4 linked regions of the Saccharomyces cerevisiae S288C genome follow. The gene in region 1 interacts genetically with each later gene. Each region holds a gene or a part of one and is shown in the gene's direction. Other genes may lie near its edges. The genes, in order: EXP1, SPS2, KIN2 and RQT4.

The links.
Region 2: mutations in EXP1 (region 1) and SPS2 together harm fitness more than expected from each alone (negative genetic interaction), as found in Saccharomyces cerevisiae (2 studies listed by BioGRID).
Region 3: mutations in EXP1 (region 1) and KIN2 together harm fitness more than expected from each alone (negative genetic interaction), as found in Saccharomyces cerevisiae (3 studies listed by BioGRID).
Region 4: mutations in EXP1 (region 1) and RQT4 together harm fitness more than expected from each alone (negative genetic interaction), as found in Saccharomyces cerevisiae (2 studies listed by BioGRID).

What each region holds. Positions count from the first base shown.
Region 1 is NC_001136.10:240,970-247,506, reverse strand, and holds EXP1 (Exp1p), read left to right. Parts: upstream 1-1,924; coding exon 1,925-2,374; downstream 2,375-6,537. Other genes in the region: HEM25 (Hem25p), read left to right, coding at 1-818; YFH1 (ferroxidase), read right to left, coding at 1,060-1,584; ubiquitin-specific protease UBP1, read right to left, coding at 2,526-4,955; SNA4 (Sna4p), read right to left, coding at 5,667-6,089; YDL124W (aldo-keto reductase superfamily protein), read right to left, coding at 6,310-6,537. UniProt on the Saccharomyces cerevisiae protein: Specific cargo receptor protein for the plasma membrane ATPase PMA1 that acts with PSG1 to promote the transport and maturation of PMA1.
Region 2 is NC_001136.10:1,481,593-1,488,900, reverse strand, and holds SPS2 (Sps2p), read left to right. Parts: upstream 1-3,597; coding exon 3,598-5,106; downstream 5,107-7,308. Other genes in the region: GTPase-activating protein AGE1, read left to right, coding at 1-1,359; putative serine/threonine protein kinase SPS1, read left to right, coding at 1,863-3,335; URC2 (Urc2p), read left to right, coding at 5,498-7,308. UniProt on the Saccharomyces cerevisiae protein: Involved in middle stages of meiosis. Redundant with SPS22 for the organization of the beta-glucan layer of the spore wall.
Region 3 is NC_001144.5:329,747-338,902, forward strand, and holds KIN2 (serine/threonine protein kinase KIN2), read left to right. Parts: upstream 1-2,843; coding exon 2,844-6,287; downstream 6,288-9,156. Other genes in the region: IOC2 (Ioc2p), read right to left, coding at 1-2,369; SCF ubiquitin ligase complex subunit HRT3, read right to left, coding at 6,485-7,519; CHA4 (Cha4p), read right to left, coding at 7,781-9,156.
Region 4 is NC_001143.9:480,627-487,978, forward strand, and holds RQT4 (Rqt4p), read left to right. Parts: upstream 1-2,792; coding exon 2,793-4,385; downstream 4,386-7,352. Other genes in the region: ALY1 (Aly1p), read left to right, coding at 1-1,355; NTR2 (Ntr2p), read right to left, coding at 1,545-2,513; DBP7 (putative ATP-dependent RNA helicase), read right to left, coding at 4,518-6,746; RPC37 (DNA-directed RNA polymerase III subunit C37), read left to right, coding at 7,144-7,352.

The sequences.
Region 1 (6,537 bases):
CGAGAATCCAGCAAGACAAGAAAGCTACATTATGGAAAAATTTGAAAGAGATAGACAGCCCTCTACAGCTATGGAGAGGTACATTACCTTCAGCATTACGAACATCAATAGGCAGCGCCTTATATTTATCATGTTTGAACCTTATGCGCTCATCTTTGGCAAAGAGGAGGAATGCTGTGCCTTCATTAACAAACGATTCAAACATTGTATATAACAAGAGCAGTAGCTTACCACGATTAACGATGTATGAAAATTTACTAACAGGTGCATTTGCAAGAGGTTTGGTAGGTTATATAACCATGCCTATCACCGTCATTAAAGTCCGTTATGAGTCTACTCTGTACAATTACTCCAGTTTAAAGGAGGCAATTACCCATATATATACTAAGGAAGGACTTTTTGGATTTTTCAGAGGGTTTGGAGCTACTTGTTTAAGAGACGCTCCCTATGCAGGTTTGTATGTGCTGCTATATGAAAAATCGAAACAATTACTGCCCATGGTATTACCTTCTAGGTTTATACATTACAATCCTGAGGGAGGATTTACTACTTATACCTCTACAACAGTAAATACAACAAGCGCCGTACTATCCGCCAGTTTAGCCACCACAGTAACGGCACCGTTCGACACCATAAAAACGAGAATGCAATTGGAACCATCAAAATTTACCAACTCCTTCAATACATTTACATCTATAGTTAAAAATGAAAATGTGCTGAAGTTATTTAGCGGGTTAAGCATGAGGCTGGCAAGAAAGGCCTTCAGTGCAGGTATTGCGTGGGGTATATATGAGGAGTTGGTCAAAAGATTCATGTAAAAAATAGACACATATTTCATTGCAATCTCGCATTCTTCAAAAAAGGTATAAATACGTGTCTTTTTAGTTTCTTTATAGAGTGACGTTGAAGCTTAGTAGTACGTTCATACATACATACATACACACACGGTACAAAAGAAAAATCATATCAATAACAAGGAAGAGAGACTCTAACTATGAAATAGATTGGATGCGTTACAAGTGTTTAAATAAATATAAGAGAGTCGATGGATAAGTGCACTTATTGGCTTTTAGAAATGGCCTTCTCAACTTCTTCAGTAAGTATATCTGTTAGCTTTGTGCCATTTCTTAACGAAACCCACTCCCCATTGAGAAGGTCAAATCTGTTAGGCCCGGACAATGGTGATGCCAACCAAATTTGCTTATTTGGAGGCTGTTTGTTTATTACATACGTTCCAAAAGCTGGAATTTCCAATGTCATTACGCCATGGCTTAGCTCTACATCAGGTATACAATCCGGATGAGCCTCACTCAGTTCTTCTAAGCTATCTAGTAAATGGTCTAGGTAGTCATCTGCCTCTTCATGGTATTTTTCAAGCGGTAAGTTTAACACTTCTTGAGGCACAACTTGACCATCTGTCGAGGATTCTACAAATCTCTTCTGAAAAGTATTTACAGTATGATTCTTTTTATTTGTTACAGCTGGACAAAATCTGGCACGTTCTCCTCCTGCCGCTGCTATCATATATCTTCTGCCCATTACAGAGCTGACTCGAACTAAACTTGCGAGAGACCGCTTAATCATTGCTACACTCTATCTTCTCGCTTAGTTTTTTTTGAAATACTATCTTTCTGGTATTCAGTAGTACGTAACGATTTGTAAGTGTCTTCAAGCGAGGTTGCTTTCAATTAAAAATGCGATTCAAAGAGATCATTTACGGTTACTAATCCCTCATATCCTATAGGGCTATGTGGACATTGTAAGAAACGTGACTTTTCAAATATGATCACTGAATACGGTTTTTTGAAATTTGTCAAGTGCGATGAGTTGTATCTCTAAATCAAGCACCCATGATCTACGTTTAGTAAAAGAAAAGGACGAATTCCCTTAAAGTTCTCGGTGCCTAAGTCAATAAGTCCGGAGCATGAATCTATACGGTTATTTTTTACTTCTCATTATTGTGATTGCTTTCATTGCATTGTTGCCATTGTTTTCTGGCATCGGTACATTCAAACTAACAAAACCGAAATCGTCTGCAACAGCACAGTCAGCGACTGGTAAGCTTGGTAAGAGGGAATATTTGAAAAAAAAACTTGATCATACCAATGTATTAAAGTTTGATCTGAAGGACACGGAGGAAAGCCTTGGCCATGACAGTGCAAGTGCCTCTTCCGCTTCCAGAAAATTTGAAATAGACTCAAAGACAGGCCTTAAAAGACGTGTAATTGGACAGTACAACAAAGATCCAAATGATTTCGATTTCGATATTGATGACCTAATTAACGAAGATGAACTAGATGAACGGAGAGAAGAAGAGAAAAAGTTGAAGAAGTACAATGGTAAGAAAAATGAAGCTTACGAAGGATTTGTATAATAATGGAAGTGATTTTTGCAATTGTCCTACAAAAACTTTAGACATTCGTAACTAGCTAAACAATTGATTTAACGAATAACGTAGACTTTTAATTATTCAATTTAATTATAGTTATTGTTATTTACACAATTACGGATATCGTATTTATAACTTAGTTTACATCTTTACCAGAAATATCTCTATGGTCTTCTGTTCTCTCGAACTTCATCTGCTCTTGACCTTCCTCTTGCTCTTCACCTTCTCCTTGCTCTTGGCTTTCCTTTGGCTCCTGGACTCCTTTTTGCTCCTGCTCTTTTTCATCATCTTCTTCATTATTACTCTGAATAGCTTCCAAATCATCCTTCATCTTCCCAGTTTCTTCATCAAAGTCATATTCGTAAAATAACATAAATACACCGGGTGTTGAAAGGACTTCAGCTTCGTCCACAACGTACACAGTCTCATCAGATATTCTCCACCAACAACCCCTGTATTTTCTAAATGCAATGTAATGACCATAATTATGGGTACCGTAGTGAACAATGACAGAGCGCAATGAATATGTCAATGGAGTGGCTGGAACTGTGGAAAATGACCTAGCATAATTGATAGGTGGAGCTGGTATAACATCTTCCTCATCAGATGATGTTTCTAGTTGATCTTCAACATTGATCTTTGGTTCGTCAAGGCTCACATTGTCGATTTCTTGCAGTTCTTCATTATCTTTTACATTCTCGTTTTCAACATCAGAATGTTCTATGATCCTTTTTTTGATTGTATTCCCTAAAGCATCGGTTTCTTCAATGTACTCATCTTCATCATCGGATGTCACGCCATCGACTTCACCGTTTAGGGGATCATAGTTACTGATATCCTTGGTATGATTGTAATGAGACGCATAGTTCCCCTCTGCGTCATCGTATTCTTTTTCTTCCTCGCTGTCTTCAAATTCCTGCTCGAAGCGTTCATGTAATTTCGTATAGTATTCACCGCCAATGTTTTCATCTTCACTTGAATCTTGTTGCGCAGCTTTTTCCTTTTTTGACATTGGCAAACGAGCATCCAAATTGATTTCATTAATATCACAACACCATGGGGCAAGATTCAACCTTGACTTAAACAATACTTTCGAGTTATTTTTTCTAATCATGTACGTTCTTGGATCAAATACGGATCTGTTGATATGAATGGATAATAATGGTGGAGGTCTTGATATTAAAATCTGCTTAGATTTAGAGCATTTACGTACCATATTTGCTGTATGCAACTTCTTATAATCTTCATCGTCAATAACTGGTTTGGCAAGAACTTCTTCGATTTGATGGACCCTATCTTTTACAGCGTTAATTAACTTTTCTGGGATCGAACCCTCAGGTTTTTTTTCAAATTCTTTCAACTGACCAAATAAATGAGAGTGCGCTGCTGTGAGGGCACAACGGTTACATTCTACGCCTTCGATGATTTCAGGTTTACTCCAGTCGCTTAATAACTGAGATAATTTTAAAGTGGAACCAATATTCTCGTTCGGTAAATTTAAGCTTAATCCCGAAAATACGGAATATCTTATGCCACCGTTCTCACCACACTGTAAACAACCAATTCTTTCTGCCGTGATACCATCTAAAGGAGTCATTAGTTTGAAAGGTGTGAAATTTTGAATGGACTTGTCATGTAGTATAGAGTTAGGATCAATCTGTTCAGTTGGAATGTAAACAGTGCCAACTTCACCAAGGTTAAGTTGACCTACTAAAGCATCATCGGGTAATTCTGATTTCGCAACTGGAGTGGTATCTAGTTTTTCAGTATTCAATGATTTAACGTTACTTTCCAACTCGGCTAGTATGTTCTGGAAGAATTCTTGCGCGTCCTCTTGGTCGTAGCCAAGAAGAATATTTTTTCTTGGAGATTTGGACATTGCTTTCAATAAACTATTGGTTTTGAAATAGGGTTTATCCCGATAATACTTCGCATTTAAGGCAGAAAGTAGATCCCTTAAGGCGACACTGAAAGTGATATCTGGCTCCTGGCTCTTTTCTTCGTCTTCTTTCGAACTTGACTTCCTATTCAATTTCTTCTTATGCTTACCATAAACTTTGCCACCCTTACGAGTGTTTTTCTTATGAGTGGCTTCATCTTGAGCAGATTCTTGCCCGTTTCCTTCTTCATTGTGTTCATTTTGTTCTATCTCCTCATAGGTCCTTATGACATTATTGTCCAAGAACTCCATTAATTCTCTGGATGATGCCAATGATTGCAAAACAGAGTTCATAAAACAAGTGTTACCATCATTAACTAAACCAGCAATGAAACCACCTCTTTTCAAGATCTCTTCGTCTAAGTGGGTAAACTTACTTCTGGGCAACCAACGGCTAAGGCTATTATTATTTCTGAAGTTTGTTGTCATTTCACTAACGCTCTCAACAATGTAGTTTAGATGGTCTGGTTTTTTATAAAAAAATACTACTATGCCAAAAATTAATAAATAAATCGATAGATTGTTATTGTTGTTACTCCAAGTTTTAAAATTTCTCAAAAAATCCTGTCGGGAACCAAATAAAAATTGTAATAAACTGTTTATCTTGCTTTCAATAAACAAATCCATACAAAATTTTGTAGATTAAAAGGGGAGAAGTGTTCGAAAGTATCTAGTTTCGAACAAGGGAGGGCACTGAAGACGTAAAATGATCAGACGTTATAATGGAAAAGAAAGGAGAAGCGAATTTTGACAATCGCTTCTATTCTTTGAATGTGTATAAAATTTTTTTTTCCTGAGAAAAAAAAGGACGCAGATCACAATATTAAAAGCAATACTATGGCGTGCTTTTAAAGCAAAAAATGTTTCTGTTTTTTAAATATATAACCAATAATTATTGTATAATAGATTTAACTAGCCTGGCCATCTTGAAAATTTTGTGGTGCTAGTGAAAAATGTATTTTCGTTTTCCAATGATGGAAAAAGAAACTTGCCTACATAGATGTCATTCTGTACGTAAAGAGGAAAAGAAGGGATATAGCAGAATACACGTATGAAGGTAGGAAGGTTTCCAACAGGCGCTTACTGGTAGTATGATATATGGACATTCAGTGACGTTTATGGGAAAAACATTACGGCTTACAGATCCGCAAAATAGTTATAGGCTCGAGGGAGCTGGCGGTATTGATCGAAGAAGCTGTCAAAATGAAATACATTTCTTAATGGCAGCTCTTTTACTTTGACTGGCAAACCTCTTTGCTAAGGAAGATCATAGGAAAGAGAAGAACGGTCTTCGCTTGCTTGCTTGCTGGAATTTTCATTTTCCTTGCTGTAGCTTCATCATGGCACATAAGGAGGAGGAGACTCAACCAGAGACTGTTTGTTGTCATGGGGAGCTGCGCCTTGTAACAGAGGAGTTTCAACGCTCGGGTATACGTTTCTAGCGGAGCTTCCTTGTTGTGGGCGGTTTTGGGGGGTCTGCGAGTTTTGAGGACGATTCGAAGGAACGTTTCTTTCGCTATCCACCCAGCCTTGCTGGTAATAATAGACGTATTCAGCGTTCCTTAAAGGACTTGTAATTGTGATGTAGTAGAATGCGTGTAACATACCGGGCAAAAATCCCAGTAGCGTTAGCAATACATTCAGGAGGAAATCAGATGAACAAGGCCCAGATCGAAGAAGGACTGCAGCTGGGGGGAAAAAAAACGCAACAATATACAGTATAAAGTCAGAAACGGTACAACAAACACAGTAGCAACACATGATGCGCGTCCCTATCTGTCTCTGCTCAGTGTGGCACCTTTATTGGGGAGATGCCCTCTTCCGGTATTTTTTGATGGCCTTTTATATAATGTACAGCCCTTTTTTCTTCCTCGATGCTGAAAAGTGGCGGGATGGGTAACGGGGTGATAAACCTGACAAAAAAAGTCGATTAATAAAGTTATACAAAACAAATATGACTCGTACATAAATTATCCGGTATTTATACTTTTTGAGCAGCGTAGTTGTATTTACCGTACAATTTATTCCAATACAATCTTAGCGGTTCATGTTCCAAGCCCAACTCCGTTATCTTATCGACTTCCTCAGCCGTCAAGTCGAAAGAGAATAAATTTTGCGCGTCAGAAATTCTTTGAGGTTTGGAAGAGGTGGTTACAGGCAACACGCCACGTTTGGTCACCCAACGTAGGATAATTTGGGCTTCAGATTT
Region 2 (7,308 bases), 1.2 Mb from region 1:
CCATCATGGTGCAACAACGCGTTAAAGTTAACTAATATTCTTCTTAAATCTCTTCGATGTAAATTTCAAACGAACCGCTGCGAGGATGATCGAGGTTTTGAGGTATATTGTGTTATTTTAAAAAGCATCGCTTTATTAATGGCCGCGAAAGAATCATTGATATTACTACAAATACCTCCTTCTTTACCATCAGGATTTCCATTTCGTTCACCCCAACTGTCATTTACATATTTATCAACCCGTCTTAGTGGGAGCCAACACAAATCTACGCATTCTCATCACATCAATCATCAAACTCATCCCATTCATAGTAGCAGTAGCAACAGTAATAGTAATAACCGTATTCCTACAAAAACAGATTCCTCCAAACAGCATACACAGCATTTCTCTTTTGCTAATGCGGGAGCCTCCAATAGAGACGAACTGCTATCAATCGTGCGCAAAATTGATAAATCTAATTTGAAGTGTTGTGACTGCGGTAGCACCGCAACAGTAGAATGGGTGTCAATCAATTTATTGTGTATATTGTGTATCAAATGTTCGGGCGTTCATCGATCTCTGGGTTCACATATCTCCAAAATTAGATCTTTAACGCTGGATAATTTCACCTCGTTAGAGTTGATGCATCTTTTACAAAATAATGTTTCCAATAGTAATGTTAATGCCATTTATGAAAGCAATCTCAGGAACTTTCCAGTTAAAAAAATAACTGCAAATTCTGATGACTCGGAAAGATCCAAATTCATTATTGATAAGTATCAATTTAAAAAGTTTGTTATCGACAGCAACCAAGGCAGAGAGGCTTCTTTGAAGTCTTTAATTAAAGCTATCCATTTAGATAGTGTTTTCATGATGCAAAGAGCCATCGCCCAAAGTAAATATTCCCTAAGAGAATTGACGGCAAGCGAAAAAGAGCAGAATGATCTAAACCATTCTTCCATTTTTCAATATTCCCTAAAGCACTATGAAATTGTTGATGGAACGCCCATTTTTTTTATTACAGAATTTTTATTGTGCAATGGTATTCATATAGATAATTTACCGAAGATTACTACGAATTGGTCTCCAAAGGTTTTAGAATATTGGGAAACTAAGTTGGAGATGTACGGAACATTCCAAGCTGTAAATACTTCTCGTCCAAGATCAGGGCCGCATTTAAATATGCATTCAAATGTAGATTCAGCTTCGTCCTACAATAAGAAACACGATTTGAGAGTTAACATACCTGAAAGAAGTGCCTCAGCAAGTAAAAGGTGGAGTTTGAGCTCCATTCCTAAGTCTTCTCAAAATTTGATGTCCCCAACAAACTTATTAACAATGCATAAGTCTTTAAAATTGGCCAAAAAGGACAAAAAATAACATATATGATAATTTAACTGTATTTTTTTCCCTTTTCTAATACTTTTTCCTCAAGTTATATTTCGGAGCTGTCCCAGGTTCGGAACAATGCGGCATCAGGGATAAAAAAAAATGACACATAAAAACGAAAAAGACACAAATTCCATTTTTTTTTTTTGACGCGAAAGAATGACACTACTTTCTTCTATTGTAACCATTTCTAACATCGATATTTTACTTGTTAGTTCAGATATATACTAAAGAGTCACTTAATATACTGTTTTTGTTTATTATCTTGGTTCCAACTGCTTCATTTAATATTTCCTATCCAAAAAAAGCCAGCTAATTCTCTTCTTTTTTTTTCTTATTTTGCCATTTTCAATATTATCGATTTAGTGAACACCTGGCTAGTCAGTTGTCTTAGCAAACATTTCTCAAAAGAAAGCAAACCAGCATTTGCTTTTTAAATTTAGTTTTTTTACTAGCTAATTCATTTACTAAACAACAAAAGAAAATAGCACAAAATGGAAAGCAAAGAAATATCAATTAGGTCAAGAACCCCTCCATCGAAGCTATATTCCATCCAATCATGTATTGGCAGAGGTAACTTTGGTGATGTGTATAAAGCAGTGGATAGAGTTACGCAAGAAATTGTGGCAATTAAGGTGGTCAACCTGGAGCATTCCGACGAAGACATTGAACTGTTAGCACAGGAAATTTTTTTTCTGGCGGAATTGAAATCTCCTCTTATTACAAACTATATTGCAACAATGTTAGAAGATGTCTCTATGTGGATTGTCATGGAATATTGCGGCGGTGGATCATGTTCAGATTTACTGAAGCGAAGTTACGTCAACGGTTTGCCTGAAGAAAAAGTTTCCTTCATTATTCATGAAGTCACCTTGGGTTTGAAATACCTGCATGAGCAAAGGAAAATTCATCGTGATATCAAAGCAGCTAATATTTTACTAAATGAAGAAGGTATGGTTAAGTTGGGTGATTTCGGAGTAAGTGGCCACATTCGTTCCACTTTGAAAAGGGACACTTTTGTAGGAACGCCGTATTGGATGGCTCCGGAAGTTGTTTGCTGCGAAGTTGATGGGTATAATGAGAAAGCAGATATATGGTCCTTGGGTATCACCACCTATGAGTTACTCAAGGGCTTACCCCCATTATCTAAATATGATCCTATGAAAGTTATGACTAACTTACCAAAAAGGAAGCCTCCAAAATTACAAGGTCCCTTTTCGGATGCAGCAAAGGATTTCGTAGCTGGTTGTCTTGTTAAAACACCTGCTGATCGGCCATCGGCATATAACTTGTTATCATTTGAATTTGTTAAGAATATCACCATAACGAACTTGAAAAGTGATGTTGATCTAATTAAACAGAAAAAGGTTCAGGAGAGATATACAAAAGTTCCCAAATACCCTCTTCAAAATCGCTTGTATAAAAACAGCAACACAGTGAGGGGAAAGGAATTTTGGAATTTTGAATCGACAAGACTAAGCACAACACAAATTTCCAAAGAGGAATTATCTCCCATTACACAAGACTCTCCAACATCATCTTTAAATATGGAAAGTCCTTATTTACTTCATGGGCAAACTGTAACGCCGATAACCAACCCAAGTTCTTCATCATTTAGAAAATGTACGCAACCAGTTTTCGAGCTTGATTCAGGAATGGATATAGATTCAGGCTGCCCAAATGCTCAAGCAGAGACCGAAATAGTTCCTCTCTCTAATCATAATAAGAAGCATAAAAAGAACGATATTCAGGCGTTGAAGATAGAAAAGTTTGACTACTTGAAAAACATTGTATCTCATATTCTCAACAGAATGTATGATCGTGCGCGCGACGATGAAACAAGAAAATACGTAAATGAAATGTTAAAGCAATTCATTAAAACTGAGGCAAACGTTCCTGGATTTAATGAGGTTTTTATAGAAGAGATCTCACTAAGAATTGAAGCAATAAAGAAAGGATTCGTTTAAAAAAATAGATATATATATATAATGTGTGTATATGCATGAGTTTTTGTTTTCCATTCTCTTTCATCTTCAATAAATGAAGGATGGATATATTGAATTATATAACAAACAGTAAAAAGTCATGTGTTTTTGATTATTTACCTGCTTATTTCTCCCTTTTTTTTTCGATTCTTTTTTTCTGATCGAGCGTTTATGTCTTTACTGTCCCGTCATTGATGCGTCTCAAAAAAAATATTTTGTGGCATTACTTAGACTATAAAAGAAAATGCCAATTTGGAAAACACAAACATTCTTCACTAGTATTTCTGTTATTCAAATAGTCAATAAAGAAACCAAAGTTTCTACAAAAAAAGAAAAGGATAGCATGTTGAACCAGTTGAACACAATCTTAAGATTTTTATTCTTGTTTCTGCAGTTAATTAAATCATCCGCTGCAGTTGAACCTAATGGTGGACCGAATATTCTAGATCACAACATTATGTTGGTTAACACTAATGCAACGATCCCTAAAAAGGAACAAACTGATTTTGAGGTGATTTCTCCAACAAAACAAACACAAGTAGATGAAGACTGTAAAAAAGGCTTGTATCATATTGAGAATGCTGGAAATTTGATTGAACTGCAAGCTAAATGTTGGAAAGTGGTAGGAAACATTGAAATATCAAGTAACTACAGCGGATCTCTTATTGATCTAGGGTTAATAAGAGAGATAGAGGGAGATCTTATTATCAAGAATAACAAACACATTTTTAGAATCCAGGGTTATAATTTAGAGTCTTTGGGAAAGTTGGAATTGGATAGCCTAACTTCCTTTGTATCATTAGACTTTCCCGCTTTAAAAGAAGTTGAAACCGTTGATTGGAGAGTTTTGCCTATTCTAAGTAGTGTTGTCATTAACGGAAATATTAAAAAGATCAAAAATATTATCATATCTGATACTGCATTAACCTCCATCGATTACTTCAATAACGTCAAGAAAGTGGATATTTTCAATATCAACAATAACAGGTTTTTAGAAAATTTATTCGCAAGTTTAGAAAGTGTTACTAAACAACTAACCGTCCACTCTAATGCCAAAGAGCTGGAACTTGATTTGAGCAACTTACACACGGTTGAAAATATGACCATTAAGGACGTTTCAGAAATTAAACTAGCTAAACTTTCCTCTGTGAACAGTTCTCTAGAGTTCATCGAGAATCAATTTTCAAGCTTGGAACTACCACTTTTGGCAAAAGTTCAAGGAACGTTGGGGTTAATAGATAATAAAAATCTGAAAAAGCTAAACTTTTCGAATGCCACCGATATTCAAGGGGGTCTAATGATTGCTAACAATACAGAGCTTGCCAAAATTGATTTCTTCCCCAAGTTGAGGCAAATTGGCGGTGCAATATATTTTGAAGGTAGCTTTGATAAAATTGACCTCCCAGAGCTAAAGTTAGTAAAAGGTAGCGCTTATATCAAAAGTTCATCTGAGGAATTAAACTGTGAAGAATTTACATCACCAAAAGCCGGTCGTTCGATCATAAGAGGCGGTAAAATCGAATGCACATCTGGTATGAAAAGTAAAATGCTGAATGTTGATGAAGAGGGGAATGTACTAGGAAAGCAGGAAACTGACAATGATAATGGAAAGAAAGAAAAAGGAAAAAATGGTGCAAAAAGTCAAGGAAGTTCAAAGAAGATGGAAAACAGTGCTCCGAAGAACATTTTTATTGATGCTTTCAAAATGTCAGTTTATGCAGTTTTCACGGTATTGTTCTCGATAATTTTTTAGGTTAGAAGATTAACTTAAATACTAGCCATTTTATTTAGTTCTTATGAGATATAAATTTGCAGTAGAGATGTAGTGTTCTGATTATCTTCACCTGGAGCATAGCGTAGCCCACTTAGCATCAGCTTTTTATGTTATTTCAGGCATTACCAAAACTGGTTAAACTATTGAAACTGTTACCCTCCTTTTAATTTTGACAGTTTTTGAATAATTATTATGGTAGATCATCTTAACAAAATGAGCTCATTAGGTAGATGATTTAATTGAAAAATAGTGTTTTGATACGGTTCTTCCTTAGGGTTAAAACCACTCACATTTTGCTTACTCACCATTAAAACATCTTTCCCAGTTGTATTTTATATTTCTTTCGGTTTGCTGAACATCAGGGAAAAAAATGGATATAAACTCAAATGCCTCAGTAAGCCCCAGACCAGATGGTTTACCGATGACTGCTGGATATAATTCTGCTTCTGGAAAGGTGCGAAATAGTATCAGATCCATAATAAACCACCCAGAGGATAGTGCAAGAGCCAAAGAGCGCAGTGAAACGAACAGTCCTAAGAATAATGGCAACAAAAAACCTAGAAAGAAAAGAAAAACATTTAGTTGTGATACTTGCAGGAGAGTGAAGACAAGGTGCGATTTTGAACCTTTCATTGGAAAATGTTACAGATGTAACGTTCTGCAGCTTGATTGCTCCTTAGCCAGGAATAAAGACAATGAAATTTTGAATACTTTACGTGAGGATGGTCTACTAAAGAAGATCAACTCAATTAATCACAACCTTGGTTCTTTCTCTCATTTGAATGCGGACTCTCCCAACGAAAGCCAAAGTAGTTTTGAAAAGAATGGAACGGTCAATTTTGATAATTACATGATCGATAAAAGGCTTTCATCTTTAGAAGAGCACATAAAATCTTTACACCAGAAAATGGACTTGATAATCACCACAGCAAAGATGTCTTATAACAGCGATATCAAAGGCCCTGGAGATGATATTCAGAACGTGGATTTCAGCTCAAATAAGACGTACGATAGTCGTCTAACTTCGGGCTCAGAGACGATAAGGAAAACAGGGGAATATAGAAAAGAAAATCTTTTCTTAAATGGATTTAAGTTGAAGGAATCTCCTTTAAAATTGCTACATGATATTGATGAGAGGCTATTTCCATCGAAGGCTACATCTAAAGCTGCGAAGCTAGCTGGACAGCAAAGGCCATATGCTGTTGCAAGAGTGAACTTTCTCCATTTTTATGAGAATAATCAGGAATTATGCCATAAGCTTGCAAAAGAATTTCTGGTGAGATCCCATTTCTGGATAATTCCAGGTGGGAGAAAAGAGATAGACGTGGAATATGCCCACTCACACCTATTTATTACAAGTGTTTTTACTATTATCGCTATGAGTTTTGCTGACAACGATAAATACGCTGCAGAACAAGAAATATTGTATCCTTTAGTGGAGAGATTACTCACTAATACGTTAACCATGTTTGAAAAGTTAACAGCGTTTGATATTGAGGCTATTTTATATTGCTGTATGTTCCATATTTCGCGAAAGGCAAAGAGATATAGGCAACTGAAGTTTAATTCTCTGGTACTAAGCAATTTTGCGCTCAATAGCTTGTTACATGTAATAGATTTTTATCAGATAAAGGATAGGGTTTTGGTAAAAGAAGTGTATAATCCCGAAGATCTTTATCATCTAAGAATACTAAATTCACTAACTGCCTGCTATTTAGAATATTCCATTAGTTACGGCGATATTAGGGAACAGGATGATATGCTTAAAGAGTTTAATAAACTTGTGGCGAAATTTCCTCAGGCGAATTTTGGTGATGACATTAAAATCAGTGAGATAAATTTAGGTGACATCGTAAATGGCATCTTTATAAACCTTAAAAATTATTTTGCGCAGTGTTTGGATGACTTTAACAATGACAGATATGGAGGTAACGCAGATACTTTTATCTTTGTTTTTCCAGAGCTAAATTATTGGCTGAAAAATTGGGAAGAGCTTTTAGCAAAGGATGGCGCGGGCGTGCTATTGTTCACATTTGATTTTTATCATATCATGATATGTCGCACTTTTATCACAGAATTTTCTTCCACGCTAAAAAGCAACCAAAGGTTTTTGAAACTAATTCTTAATACGATGAAAGAACATTCATTTTCGCTGTTGAATGGGTTTTTGAGACTACCGCC
Region 3 (9,156 bases), on another chromosome or scaffold:
TGTTGCTGTTGCTGCTGTGGTTGGATTGATGCTTGTGATGTTTGTGGTGCCTGTGGTGCTTGTGGTACAGTTTTGCTGCCAGTTTGCTGCGAGTATGTAATTATGGGGTGAGCGGCATTTACATTAGGTGCTGGATTGATGGCTGGATTTGTTTTTTCGTAAGCGGCGATACTAGGCGTTGTGCTACTTGACATGTTTGCAAATGCATTATTAAACACTGGAGGTGAGACAGACTCGGTTAGTTCCCTTTTCTTTGCAAGCTCTTCGAGCCTTTTCTTTTCTTCCTTCATTTTTTTTCTTCTTTCACGGTCTTCCTGTTGTTTTCTTTGTTTGGCCCTTATTATTTTCAATTCAGGCACAAAAATGTTGCGCAGCTCAAGTTCCAAGTCCCTGATGCACCAAGCGCAGATAAAAGTGGAGCATTCAGACAGCGGTTTGCGTTTATCAGTAGGTCTTGAAGACTTGGTGCTGGGTTCAAGTGTGGATTGGGGTCTGCGAGAAGACCTTCTATTGCCGTGCGAATTTCCCATTATGATGACGCCAAAATCACGTTGCGACAGCGTGTGCTGTGGGGATTTTGTGGTTGAAGATATAAGCTCTATAATTTTTGGAGGTTGGCATTCCCAATGCTGCCACCTGTAACAATGATCACAGCATATCAATGGGCGGTTATTGAAGAGGTCAGTCTCCGTGTCTTCGGTGATAATCATGGGCGCCAGCTCTGGTTCGCCCGGACATTGGAAAACAGAATCTTGGTTGTCGGGCTCTTGCTGCGGAGTAAAGATCCCGTAGTTGGCAAGCTCATCTAGCTCTTCCTTTGTTATGCAGAAGTCACTAGGCAATTCAGGGACGTCTCCCGTCTGTAGTGGCCCAACAGTTCCAGGAATTGGTGGTTCCACCGGGATTATACTAGATTGAAAGTTAGGGCCGTGATCAAGAACTCCGATATCGATTTCATTTAAGGGATTGTCCTCCTCCCTGCCCAAAGACGTTTCAAAAAACGGTGTACCAGAACCACTTCTATCTTTGAGCTCGTTACGCCTGGTCAATTTTTCATCTCTATAATCTTGATCGTACAATTGCCACAATTGGTTCCAAAGAAGATCTTTTATCTTTTTGATTTCCTTCGACACTAGCTTGTTTCTGTGCCTTATAAATTGTTCTCTTTCATCTAGTTTTTCAAACCACTCACTTTCCAAGTCTTTTTTCTTGTTTTCTTCCTCTTTCGCTACCAGTCTCGAAGATCTTTTCCTCCTTGTCATTAGCTCCGCAATTGCTCTCTCCTTTTCTCTGTTGGCCAAAAGTTTTGCCGAATATAGTCTATGTTCGGCATACACCGGTATTAAGTTAGTTATGAACTCATCTATGGCTTTCGAACTTTTATTCTCTGACCAGTATTCTAGCATGGACCCCCAATTAGTTGTAATCACATCATAATCAATTGTAATCGATTGAAGATATGCATCGATATCGTGAGAGTACTCGAGATGAATAAGCTCCACTGAATCAGGAATGTCTGGGTCGCTTTCTTTTATAGTACAGTTCTGTAGTTTTATTGGGATATTCAGAGTTTGAGAGACTTGGGAGGAAGAGCCTTCTTTTACTCTGTGAATGGTTTTCTTTACGAGTACACCAACATTGGGTAAGGCAAACAAGCTCTTCATTTCCTCCCCTCCACTATTATCATCATCCAGTATAACTTCACTAAACGTAAACAGATGCAAGTTATTCGCTAAGTAGTTTTTGAAGATCATATTTTTCATTTCAATTAATTTTATGATACTGTAAATGATGTCGAATTGGCGTGCAATTTCAAGCTCCAAAAAAGGTAAGTCCGTAACCAAATCTGAATACGCGCTCGAGTTTTGCAAGTGATGGTTAACTATAACATTCCAATCTTTCAATTGCCCGCTTTTATTTCCCGCTAATTGATGCAATAATTGCAATCTAATTCTGTCGTACAAATTTTGCGATCCTTCATCTACGTCGACTTCATCATTGTAATAGTTCGAGTCCTTCCCGTCTATCTTCGAAAATACGTCAGTTACAAATACACCTTCATCGAATTTGATATTCTTCCACAAGCATTTGGTAGAGCTACCGCCATACTGGTCAGTATTAAATGTCGTTGTAGTATATGATTCGCAGACATTGGAAAGCCAAGCCATCACATACTGGAAGTGCCAGTGATTGGCCAAGTCCGCGATCTTCTCATCTAATATTTCAGAATACGGCAGCTGGTGCTTGTTCAATTGGGCTATTATGTCTTCGGAGACATATTCTTTCCAGTCTTCACTATCCGCATTCGCAGCGCCGGCAGGCATGCTCGCTCCTACATTTCTTGTACCCCTAGTTCTCTTCGTTCTCATCGATCGCTGATTCACCGCTTTGTATCTATATATGATTAGCCAGTGTGTATGAGTAAAATAGAGCAATTGATCTAGTTTCTTAGTCGTGTCACTATTGAATAAATAAATGTTAATGTTGCTGGAAAGGAAGAATTATGTCACTTTTGACGCTCTCGCATTCCGTGTGCGGTGATAGCGGTAACTTGGTCTAGCAACGAAAATTTAAAAAGGTTGGAAAAGGAAAAGAAGAGCTCAAGTGGACCTAGAAGTCCTGCTTTGCCACCGTTTAAGCAAGGAATAGAGCACGCCGTTGACACAAATTCACAGTCAAGGACGGGCCACGAGAACTTTATTACAAAATATACTGCATTACACGAAATTCAGCGGAACTCTGAGCGCGAACAGCATTAGGTACCGAGAAACGCTTTTCAAAAGAAATTTCTAAAAGTTTTATTGTGCCATTAATATCGCGGCTCAATTGTTAAGTATTTCACTATGCCTAATCCGAATACAGCAGATTACTTGGTGAATCCAAATTTCAGGACCAGTAAGGGCGGATCTTTATCGCCGACGCCAGAAGCTTTCAACGACACGCGAGTTGCTGCACCAGCCACTCTTCGCATGATGGGCAAGCAATCTGGACCAAGAAATGACCAGCAACAAGCACCACTGATGCCTCCTGCAGATATCAAACAGGGCAAGGAACAGGCAGCTCAGAGACAAAATGATGCATCGAGGCCTAATGGCGCCGTGGAATTAAGGCAATTTCATAGAAGATCTTTGGGAGATTGGGAGTTCCTTGAAACGGTTGGCGCAGGCTCTATGGGTAAAGTTAAATTGGTCAAGCATCGTCAAACAAAGGAAATTTGTGTAATAAAGATTGTTAATAGGGCTTCCAAGGCTTATCTCCATAAACAGCACTCTTTACCTTCCCCAAAGAATGAGAGTGAGATATTAGAAAGACAAAAGCGGTTAGAAAAAGAAATTGCGAGGGATAAAAGGACTGTTAGGGAAGCCTCTTTGGGCCAAATCCTTTACCATCCTCATATCTGTCGTTTATTTGAAATGTGCACTATGTCAAACCATTTTTATATGCTTTTTGAATACGTTTCCGGTGGACAGCTGTTAGATTATATTATTCAGCATGGCTCATTAAAGGAACACCATGCGAGGAAATTTGCCAGAGGTATAGCTAGTGCGCTGCAATACTTACATGCCAATAATATTGTTCATCGAGATCTGAAAATTGAGAATATAATGATATCTAGTTCAGGTGAAATTAAGATCATTGATTTTGGTCTTTCCAACATTTTTGATTATAGGAAACAATTACATACGTTTTGTGGTTCCTTGTACTTTGCAGCACCAGAACTATTAAAAGCGCAGCCATACACAGGACCTGAGGTAGATATTTGGTCGTTTGGTATTGTTCTTTATGTCTTGGTCTGCGGTAAAGTACCATTTGATGATGAGAACTCAAGCATTTTACATGAAAAAATAAAAAAAGGTAAAGTAGACTATCCTTCACACTTATCCATTGAAGTTATATCTTTATTAACCAGGATGATTGTTGTCGACCCATTAAGAAGAGCAACATTAAAGAATGTCGTTGAGCATCCATGGATGAACAGAGGATACGATTTTAAGGCTCCATCATATGTTCCTAATCGTGTTCCATTAACCCCTGAAATGATAGATAGCCAAGTTCTGAAGGAAATGTATCGCCTAGAATTTATTGACGATATTGAAGATACAAGAAGATCATTGATCCGATTAGTAACTGAAAAGGAATACATCCAACTTTCCCAAGAATACTGGGACAAATTATCCAACGCCAAGGGGTTGAGTTCAAGTTTAAATAATAACTACCTAAATTCAACGGCACAACAAACCTTAATACAAAATCATATTACAAGTAATCCATCGCAAAGTGGTTATAATGAACCAGATAGTAATTTTGAAGATCCTACTTTAGCATATCATCCATTACTATCAATATATCACTTGGTTTCAGAAATGGTTGCACGGAAATTAGCGAAGTTGCAAAGAAGGCAAGCATTGGCCCTGCAAGCGCAAGCTCAGCAAAGGCAACAACAGCAACAAGTAGCACTTGGCACTAAGGTCGCCTTAAATAATAACTCCCCGGATATTATGACCAAAATGAGGAGCCCTCAGAAAGAAGTAGTACCTAATCCTGGTATTTTTCAAGTGCCGGCAATTGGAACATCGGGAACCTCAAACAACACTAATACCTCAAACAAACCTCCACTGCATGTAATGGTTCCTCCTAAACTAACAATACCGGAACAAGCGCATACTTCTCCAACATCTAGGAAGAGTTCCGACATTCATACGGAATTAAATGGTGTTTTGAAATCAACACCAGTCCCCGTGTCTGGCGAATATCAGCAACGTTCTGCTTCACCCGTAGTAGGTGAACATCAGGAAAAGAATACAATAGGCGGCATATTCAGAAGAATATCACAAAGTGGACAATCTCAGCATCCCACACGGCAACAGGAACCTCTTCCAGAAAGAGAACCTCCAACATATATGTCAAAATCAAATGAAATTTCCATCAAAGTACCGAAAAGCCATAGTCGTACTATATCAGATTATATTCCTAGCGCTAGAAGATATCCATCTTACGTGCCAAATTCTGTTGATGTAAAACAGAAACCCGCTAAAAACACTACCATAGCACCTCCTATAAGGTCAGTATCACAAAAGCAAAACAGTGATCTTCCAGCTTTACCTCAGAACGCCGAACTAATTGTTCAAAAACAACGGCAAAAACTATTACAGGAAAATCTCGACAAATTACAAATTAATGATAATGATAACAACAATGTGAACGCTGTAGTCGATGGTATCAATAATGATAATAGTGACCATTATCTCTCCGTTCCGAAGGGTCGTAAGTTACATCCTAGTGCAAGGGCTAAATCGGTGGGGCATGCTCGTCGTGAATCTTTGAAATTTACTAGGCCGCCTATACCAGCAGCCCTTCCGCCATCAGATATGACAAACGATAACGGCTTTTTGGGAGAGGCAAACAAGGAGAGATACAATCCTGTTAGCAGTAACTTTTCGACCGTTCCTGAAGATTCTACCACATACAGTAACGATACTAACAATAGACTGACTTCGGTGTATTCTCAGGAGCTTACTGAGAAGCAAATTTTGGAGGAAGCTTCAAAGGCACCCCCCGGGTCTATGCCATCAATTGATTATCCAAAGTCAATGTTTTTGAAGGGTTTTTTCTCTGTACAAACAACCTCCTCTAAACCATTGCCTATTGTTCGTCACAATATCATATCTGTTTTAACAAGAATGAATATTGATTTCAAAGAAGTGAAAGGCGGGTTCATATGTGTCCAACAAAGGCCATCTATTGAGACTGCAGCTGTCCCTGTTATAACCACTACTGGCGTGGGTTTGGATTCCGGAAAGGCGATGGATCTGCAAAATAGTTTAGACAGTCAATTATCATCCAGTTACCATAGTACAGCGTCCTCAGCATCAAGAAATAGTTCGATAAAACGCCAAGGTTCTTATAAGAGGGGCCAGAATAATATACCACTAACACCTTTAGCGACCAATACACATCAAAGAAATTCATCTATCCCAATGTCTCCAAACTACGGAAACCAAAGTAATGGTACATCAGGGGAACTATCTTCCATGTCATTAGATTATGTTCAACAACAGGATGATATTTTAACAACATCAAGAGCCCAAAATATAAATAACGTAAATGGTCAAACAGAGCAAACCAATACTTCTGGTATAAAAGAAAGGCCTCCTATTAAATTTGAGATTCACATTGTAAAGGTTCGTATCGTCGGCCTAGCAGGTGTACATTTCAAAAAGGTTTCTGGTAATACGTGGCTATATAAAGAATTGGCATCGTATATTTTAAAAGAATTAAACCTATAGATACGTTGTTCTTACTAAATATTTCAACGTGTGTCTTTCAATTTTTATTATCTAATATTTATCTTTTTTTAATATTATAGTATAATTTATTTAAGCTGAGATCTGCTTTCTTTAATCTTTCATATGATGAAATAATAGTTCTACATAAATCTATAAGAATAATAAATAAAGTAAAACAACTGCAAAAAACATCGATGTCATCCAGGATCCTTGAAAGATTTCACTCTGGAGAAGAAAAAAGATTTCTCATTTCTCAACGAACAGTTAGATGCATTCCCTTCCTTATCCACTACAATTGAACTTAGCCATTTCAACCGTTGATATCTCTTATTGCCTTGATTCTTGATTTGGAATTCTTCGATAAACGTATACTTTTCATCTGACCTTGTTATCTTTAAATGACCAAAATCATAATCAAATCCGAGGCTCCAATAACACATATGACTATGCCTGGGTTTGTTCTCTTTGGAGAAGTGCTTCACGACAGCGCTAGGTTCATCTGTAGAAAGTAATCTCAAACATTGGCCGTTCTCATAAAATCTGAAATACCTGTAATAGGTGATCATGTGAACTGGCTTTAAAAGAGATAACGAACTTTCTGCATTGGAACCGTATCTTACATAATTTACTACACTGATGTAAACACCTTCGAATTTAATATATGGCCTTTCCCTTAACATACGATAATCATCACCCCGCCATATTTCCTTTTCAAAGGTATTTATATCGGTGATTCCGTTAAGATCCATTGCCATTTTGTCGTATATTTGCTTAGAATATATGTACTTCGCGAAAGTTTTAAATGGCACAGAATCGTGGAAGCAAAGCTTGCTAAAGGTGGAACAAGTCATCGACAAATTCACCCAAGATTCACCAGACATTAATATAACTTTTTTAATAATTCTCAGTAAAATGTCGTCAGGCAAGATTTCCAGAATCCAGCAGGGTTGAAGTTCAGCATTTTCTTCAACAGATAAGTCATCTTTACCGGTTTCATTTTGTTCATCTGGAGCATCAGTAGTCATTGATAATCCCGATAGTTTTTTGTGCAGCATCCACTCATCAAGTATTTTTTTTCTGTACAGTGATTCCACATTATCATGGATTTTCAATGCACTTCGATAGAAGTTTATAGCATCTGACATTGACCCATCCTTCTCTTTCAGTACACCTTTTTCCCAAATAGCAATAGCCTCTTTAGCCCTAGGGTCCTTTTCATAATCTACTATCATTTGCTCCTTGAGTTTAGCTTATGGAACACATGTGTCGTCGCCAAAGATGATGGGGAATGTTTGCTTTTATCTTGCTCAGTCGATTTCGCTATCTAGGAACTACAATCCTTTTTTTTGTCATTTGGAAGGCTCTTTAAAATTCCGAATCGATAAGTTCGGAGGTGGGAAAGGATAGCGGTATATTCCTTCCCAAATAAAAAGGCTACAAACACATTACATAAAGAATATTTGTTCAAGTAAACATATCCTCTTCACTCAAGATTACTTCGACAAACCATCATTGGTGTTTCCACCAATCAGCATATCAATCTCATTCAATAAAGTAAAGTCAAAATTGTACTCTAAGGCAAAATCGTTACCGTGAGATAGAGTCCCTAATAAATCCATAGTTTCTGAATTATGCAAAGCATCTTCAGAGTTTTCTATGAATTTTCTAGCAAGTTCGTAATTCAGGGTAGGCGCACTTAAAAAATTTAAGAAGTCTTGTTTTCTATCCTTTTTAATCAAGTTGGACTTCATGCATTGGATGGCTAAAATCGCAGAATAAATCATGTAAATTGTGGCCTTCTCAAACGTCTTAAATTTATTTTTCCAAACTTTTAAAAGATAATACAGTTCATCAACATAACCTTCAACCAATTCCCGGCTTTGTTTGATTTCGTATATGAAAGGTTTATTATAGGAAATTAGCACGATATAGTAATGAAACCATACGTAAGCTATGGTTGGGTTAAAATCTGTCATTTCCATCAATGACCTCTTGGTCCATTGTAGTTCAGGGGGCAAATCCCTTCTCCAATTGTATACCTCCAGATTAAATTTGGCCAAGTATTCACTCCTTTGAAGTAGAGTTTCGTTTGGGCTGAAAATCTTGGATGCAAAAATCTCCGTTATTCTCGATAACACAATCAGTTTCTTCAAGGGGTTTGCAGTGGACAATATTACTTTTGGGTCATATATGTACTCCTCTATACCAGTCTCAATTTCAGGTAGCTCGTCTGTTTCTGGAACAGTGGAATTGGACAAACGCAAGGAAGTTGATCTTCCAAAGAGGATCGCTATTAAATGATCAGCAATGTAGCAGCCCCAATAAATTCTACTTCTCACTTCAAAATCCATTATTGACAGCTCGTCTTCATAAACATTACTCCATGCTTCTGGATTCAAATGTAGGCCGATTTCGTGGGCAATCCTAAATGCCAGCCCAGAAAGATACCAAGCCATGGGGTTTTCTCCGCTTCCAATGTCATAAAATGCCAAACACAATAGAGTCTGGATGATTGCTAATTTCGAAGAGGACGACGATTCAGCTAACGAAGAATCTTCCAGTTGAAAAATTTTTTTGAGTACTATCGTCTTGGCTCTTTGATAAAACACTTCAGATTGTTGAAAAAGCTCAGTTTCTGATTTGTATGAAATCAAAGATCCCAATGCAGCGATTGCAAATACCAATTCTTCGGAACAATAGTAACTTTTAGTGTTAGTATCACCGAAGAAAGCACTTAAGAAAGTTTCTCTATGAATGAAAAGGTAATGTCCCGGGTATAGCCATTTGAAAAAGAGTGACAACGATCTTAAGATAAGGGGACTTCTTGATAAATTTTTTAGGCTGACCTGCTGTTGCTGATATCTTGTGC
Region 4 (7,352 bases), on another chromosome or scaffold:
GCAAGTTTACAAACAGTATACGGTTACACCCTGATACAAATTATGATAAAATCAAAGCCCACCATTGGATAAAAATTTGCCTTCGTCTTTCCAAGAAGTACGGGGACAATAGAAAACATTTCGAAATAAGTATTGATTCTCCAATCCATATTTTAAATCAACTATGCTCACACGCGAATACTTTGCTACCGAGCTACGAGAGTCATTTCCAGTATTGTGATGAAGATGGTAATTTCGCACCAGCAGCAGATCAACAAAATTACGCAAGTCATCATGATTCCAATATTTTCTTCCCAAAAGAAGTTCTTTCGTCTCCCGTTCTTTCACCTAACGTGCAGAAGATGAACATTAGAATACCGTCTGATCTTCCAGTAGTGCGTAATAGAGCTGAAAGCGTAAAGAAAAGCAAGTCAGATAATACCTCCAAGAAGAATGATCAAAGTAGCAATGTCTTCGCATCCAAACAGCTGGTCGCAAACATTTATAAGCCCAATCAGATTCCAAGAGAATTAACTTCTCCTCAGGCGTTACCATTATCGCCCATCACCTCACCAATTCTCAATTACCAACCATTATCAAACTCCCCGCCTCCAGATTTTGATTTTGATCTAGCTAAGCGCGGCGCAGCCGATTCTCATGCTATTCCTGTGGATCCTCCATCATATTTTGATGTATTAAAGGCCGATGGGATTGAATTGCCATACTACGATACAAGTTCATCTAAAATTCCTGAACTAAAACTAAACAAATCTAGAGAGACATTGGCCAGCATTGAGGAGGACTCATTCAATGGTTGGTCTCAAATTGATGACTTATCCGACGAAGATGACAATGATGGCGATATAGCATCTGGTTTCAACTTCAAGCTGTCAACCAGTGCTCCGAGTGAGAACGTTAATTCACACACTCCTATTTTGCAGTCTTTAAACATGAGTCTTGATGGGAGAAAAAAAAATCGTGCCAGTCTACACGCAACATCAGTGTTACCTAGTACAATAAGACAGAACAATCAGCATTTCAATGACATAAACCAGATGCTAGGCAGTAGTGACGAAGATGCCTTTCCCAAAAGCCAATCATTAAATTTCAATAAGAAACTACCAATACTTAAAATTAATGATAACGTCATACAATCAAACAGCAATAGTAATAACAGAGTTGATAATCCAGAAGATACAGTGGATTCTTCAGTCGATATTACAGCATTTTATGATCCAAGAATGTCATCAGATTCCAAATTTGATTGGGAGGTAAGCAAGAACCATGTTGACCCAGCAGCCTACTCGGTTAACGTTGCTAGTGAAAACCGTGTACTGGACGACTTTAAGAAAGCATTTCGCGAAAAGAGAAAATAAGTACATTATTTTCATTCTCCGACAGAATTGCTACCATTTTACTTTGTGTCCTGTGATTCAATAGTGTACAATATATTGGACATTTTATAGTATACAAATATACACCATCAATCTATACATCCATATCACTTGTCGTAAAGATATCCCTTTTTAATAGTACAGCGATTAAAAAAATAACATGATTAACGTTCAGTTACCAATGAGCTTATTTATTAGGCTTGCTTTAGATTTTTCCAAGTCAATTTTTGTTTTTTCTAACGCTTGCAACCTCATCTCAACCTTCTTCCTTTGCAAGCAGATCTTCGAAACCATCTCGTTTATTCTCTCAATGCTGTTCCCACTTTCATCATCGTCTGGGAAAAGTACCGGTAAGGGCGTGATGATTTTCTCATTCGATTTGTTTATATTTCCTTTGCTTAAAAGCTGGGTTTCCCATTCTTCATTAGTTCTGTAGGGCACTTCATTTATGGCCTTCTCTATAATCTTTCTTTTAGAATCCTTTTGAATAGCAATTTGATTATCCGTGAGGGCTAGCATTTCGTCTTGAAAGCCTTGCATTTCATCGTCACTGAAGTTCGTAATCTCCTTTTCATTGTTACGTTTCAGACCACCATTTAATCTTATTGTCTCCATAATTTCGCGTTTATCCTCACTGTCCAACAATTTTACATAATCTCTTTCTGTTGTAACATCACTCTCACTAATTTTCCTTCTAGATAATGACTTCTGTGCTTTCAGTTTTGCAATTTCTCCTCGGGTTGGTATACTACTAATGTGCTCACCTTCGGAGCTACTGCCAGCCTCTGAAGAATCACTTAATAGATGATGATTCCCCTCCATCAAGTCCTCCATATTGAGAATTAGCAAATCATCTTTGTTTCGCGTCGATGCATTGGTATTTTTCTTTGAATGGTAAAGATCTTCATAATGCGAATTATCCTCCTTTATTGCTTGTTCGCCATCAAAGGTAATGTCGCGCTTAGGAACTTTTTTAAACTTTATTGGTTGTAATACACAAATGTCGTTGTCATCATCTTCAGAATCGTTCGACACTAGGGGCTTAATTTGCTGCATTGGCTTATGCGCAGAACCATCAATTCCAACCTCCTCAGGAGAACCACTTGGTAACCTAATTTTATTTCTTTTCTTGATCGCCATAATGTGTTCAAATGCTATAACATTGCTAGGCAGAACTTGACGTAACTCGACCAGTTATATTGCTTCTTCAAAGCACAAATTTATGATGATTGCTTTCAGTTATGAGGTTCATTTCGATATTCTTTATGATCTTCGCTTGCCGGGTATCGGACAAATATTGAAATATTATACAGCAAGAAAGAGGCATAAAGAGCCTGGCAGCAGCAAATAATGGCAAAGTGAACGTAGTCCGAGAAACAGTGGCTTAATTATTTAACCTTGGGTTTGCAGTAATTAATAATGACAAGAAAGCAGGCTATTGACTATGCAATCAAACAAGTTCCGCAAATATTGCCTTTGGAAGAGTCTGATGTAAAAGCGCTGTGCGAACAAGTACTGAGTACATCATCTGATGATCCAGAACAAATTGCTTCAAAATTTTTGGAGTTCCTAGGTCATGAAGATCTATCGTTTGAATTTGTAATGAAGTTCAATGAATTATTGAATCAGAATGATAAAAAAGAGGAAAAAAAAACGAAAAATGTGCATCTTGAACATACTGCCCCCACTTCATGGAAAAATGAATCAAAACAGCCCACTAATAACTATATCAATAAGAAGGGAGATGAAAAACCAAAAAAATTAAAGGATGAGAAGAAAAGCTCGACAACGAGGCCTACCGTTCAACCATCAAATCAATCTACGCAATCAAACCCCATAAAGGAGAAAAAAGAGCACAGATCAAAGGGGAAATTACAATCGTTACAAGAAATAGACGAAGCAATCAAGATGCTAGAGCTTCGAGATAGCGGTTCTTCTAAAAATTGTAATTGTCAAGGTACAAGGCATCCAGTTTTCGACATCGCGCCAAACTGTCTTCACTGTGGTAAAGTGGTTTGTGTTATAGAGGGATTGAATAAAGGTAAATGCGGTCATTGCCATGAACAGTTGATTTCTGATAACGAAAGAACCCAAATGGTAGAAATTTTAAATCAGGAAAAAAACGAACTAAACGGTTCATCATCGTCCTTATCCAATGCGTCAAATGGAGCTAATGTCCCAAAGAAGAAGACTAAAACCTACAAAATAACTTCCGGTATGGGTAAAAATTTATTTGCTGAACAGGACAAATTATTTGATTTCATCGAAAGGAAAAGAGAAAGAGAAAGAAAGCGTAATGAAGTGTTGAAATTGCAGGAGGAAAAAGAAGAGAGCGAAGCAAAGGAAAGACAAGCGAGCGAGCATGACCATAAAGCTGAGGAAAACCCGGAGTTGTTAGCAGCACAAGAACGATTAGATAGACTTTTATATTTCCAAGACACTTCGGCAGAAAGAACAAAAATTATTGATAATGCCAGCGATTTTGACATGAATCAGGAGGTGGGTTTATGGGGCAGCGCAAGAGAAAGAGCTCTTGCGTTGAAGAAGCAACAACGTAATTTGAGAAAGTGGGAAAAAGTAGAAAAGGAACGGAATGGCAGGCGCGAGAAGTACGTTGTTAGCATGAATATAGGTTCAAACGGTAAAGTTACTATGACAGAAGTCCCTAAGGATACAGAGAACGTAATTGCAGGTTCAGATGATGACATCAGTGATATAAGTGACGAAGAAGATATCAGCGACCTTAAACATATACACGCTCTGAAAAGTGAAATAAATACAACGAAATCCTTGGAGAATTTGCATTTACAGTCCAAAGCATGGGATTACGAACGTGATAAAAAACAATTCGATAGGCCTACGTATGTGAAAAAAAATTCAGATACTGCACAACAGAATAGAAAAACGGAAGAAAAGGCTCACGACATGCAAGCTTATGATTTAAAGTCAAGAGTACAAGTGGACCAAAATGCAGACGCATCAGTAGAACAGAATATTCTTGCTGTACTTTGATGAATGGTAAAAGTTTATATTATATATGATAGAGGATATAACCGTTATTCATTTTCTGTAGATTTTATCATTTTCTTTGTCTTCATAGTATACAATTTTTTTTTATATGAATTAATGCTTGTTCTTGTCTATTTAGTAGTTAAACTCACTTGCTATTTGCTTCTCTGCCATACGAGCCATACGAAACATTTTATTTTTAGAGTTTTCCTTAGTTGGCTTCTTTTCACTATTACCATCCTTACTACTTTGCAATCCCATAGCCTTTGGCCTTTCACGTAACCCAAAACTTTTAGCTAAATGGCCTAGATGTAAGAACTTCACGTTGAAAAACTTCTTTTCTTGAGAGATATGCGTTGCGTAAGCCCTCACATGACTAATGAAACCTTTAACGGCCAAATTTTTGAATGCGGAATCTCCCACTACTCGTCTTTCTATATTCAAATGCCATGTCGTAGCATTGGTATCCCACTCATATTCTTTATCGCCCACGTCTTTATTTTTGGACGATTTCTCATCTTTTCTAATGAATTTATCATTTCTGTTGACATTCACATCTTTGAAAGCCGGCATTAGTATTTCTTTATCGAATTTCAGTAATTCCCAACCCATCGGATGATACGGCTGGATATAGTCCATATATTTTTCTTCTTCGCCAGGAAGTAAAAATAACAAACTTTCACCCTTCTCACCGGCCCTTGCTGTACGACCAACTCTATGTAAATGGTCTTCAACAGCAAATGGTGGATCCAACTCAATAACAGATCCAACGTGGGGAAGGTCTAGGCCTCTACTTGCGACATCTGTACAGAACATAATAAGATGTTTTCCCTTGGTGGCTTCATTATCACGAGCAAAATGCTGCAATGTAGAGGTTCTCATTTGTTGGGATAAAGAACCGTGCAATTTATAAATCACTACATCTGGGTCCCTAGAATCTGAAAAACAAGGAAACATAGTGTTTCCTTTTGTCAATAGTCTTACAGAATCACCCGTTAGATTTTTATGGTGCCCGTCACTTCCTGAAAATGCGTCATAATGAAACTCCACGCTGTCTGAACATGATACGAATACGATTGTACGCAGCGTTTTGGACTGTTGACCGGAAGCGATGAAATCTTTGGTAATGTTGTTCAAAGTAGCAGCTAATGTTACAAGACGCAACTTTGGTGGGACAATAGTAATCCTCTGCAATAGTTGATCGGGCGCAACCGTTACTATATCAGAATCTTTCTTGGTACCGTTGCTAATCAATTTGTAATCTTTCAACGCCACGTTTCTTAACCTATTAACACCATCAGTAAGTGTAGCACTACATAACATGTGCACTAACTTATGCGGTAGCTTGGGAAATTTTTCGGAGTTGATGGGAATATCGTGAACAATTTTAATAATTTCACTGATCGTCTCATCAAAACCCAATTCCATTAACTTATCTCCTTCATCCAATACGATATACCTTAGAGATTGACTCAATTGCTCCTTGATAACTTTTGTATTTTGTAAATGATCCAAAACACGACCTGGTGTACCGATTATGAAATTGCAACCCTTACGCAATCTAGCTTTTTCTGATTTCTTACGTTCTCCACCAATCAATAAACATGGGACCAAGTAGTGACAACATGACACAAGCGTGGAACAAACATGATATATTTGTGATGCTAGTTCTCGTGTAGGAGCAATAACCAATGCAAATGCACCAGAAGTACGATCAACATGAGTATCCATGTTCAAAATAGTAGATATTATAGGTAAAAGATACGATAAAGTCTTACCTGAGCCTGTTTGGGCGTGAATGAAAAAATCGTTCTTCCCCGCGTTACCTATTATTTGAGGTATGGCCTGCTTCTGGATGCTCGTAGGCTTTTTAATACGCATTTTTTGCTCCAGATGAGAAACAAGAAGACTAGAGACACCTAAAGACGCAAACTGATCACCTTTCAAGGGCGCGTTAGACGGATTGATGGCAACGTTTTCATCATGAATATTAGTGTTTACCGCAGTTGTAATCTCTCTGTTAGATGTAAACAGGGATGAAACAAACTGAGAATCGGCTGGTAGAGTTCTCCCTTGAGTGTTATGAGCATTTCTACCCTTATATTTTTCCTGCTCTTCAGAACTATAGGAACTCTCCTTATGCAATTTTTTAATAGAATTCTCGCCTCTACCCGGAATTATCCCTTCGTCCCCTGTAGTGTTCGCCTTTCTTTTCCTCGAGACTGTCTTGCCCTCAAGCTTCATTTTCATTCTTCTTCTATCCTTCCATCTACCGCCTGTCACCTTGGCAGCTTGCTTATAGGAACTTCCTGCAGTGTCCTCATTGGTAGTGAAGTTTAACAGCATAGAATCTTCATCGCTCATCTTGGTGTTAAATTGCTGAATAAGTATGCTTATTTGGAATATGAATAATCCCAAAGGAAAAAGAATATAAACAATCGTACTTTCTTAAATTAGAAATATCACATACAAGTACTCAATCTTTTATTTTCCTAAGCTCATCGCAAATTTTTCAAGTAAAATGGAAACCTAATATGTCAGGGTTTTTAATCCATATTGTTAGGGCAACATTCAATTTTAAACTGAAATTTTATAAAAACTCTGTTCATTTTTCAGGCCTTAGGGTTAGTATTCTGACAAAATTATTCAAGAAAAAAAGAAATGTTACAATGAATGCAAAAGATGGATAAAAGCGAGAGATGAGCTTAAATGATCTGGCTCAAGCAGTGCAAGGTGAAAGTGGAATAGGCTAGTGTTATAGATGAGTATTGACAACAAGTTGTTTGTTACTGAAGAGGATGAGGAAGACAGGACGCAGGACCGTGCTGATGTTGAGGATGAATCTAACGACATTGATATGATAGCGGATGAGAACGGAACAAACAGCGCTATAGCTAATGAGCAAGAGGAAAAATCCGAAGAAGTAAAAGCTGAAGATGATACTGGTGAAGAAGAAGAGGATGACCCAGT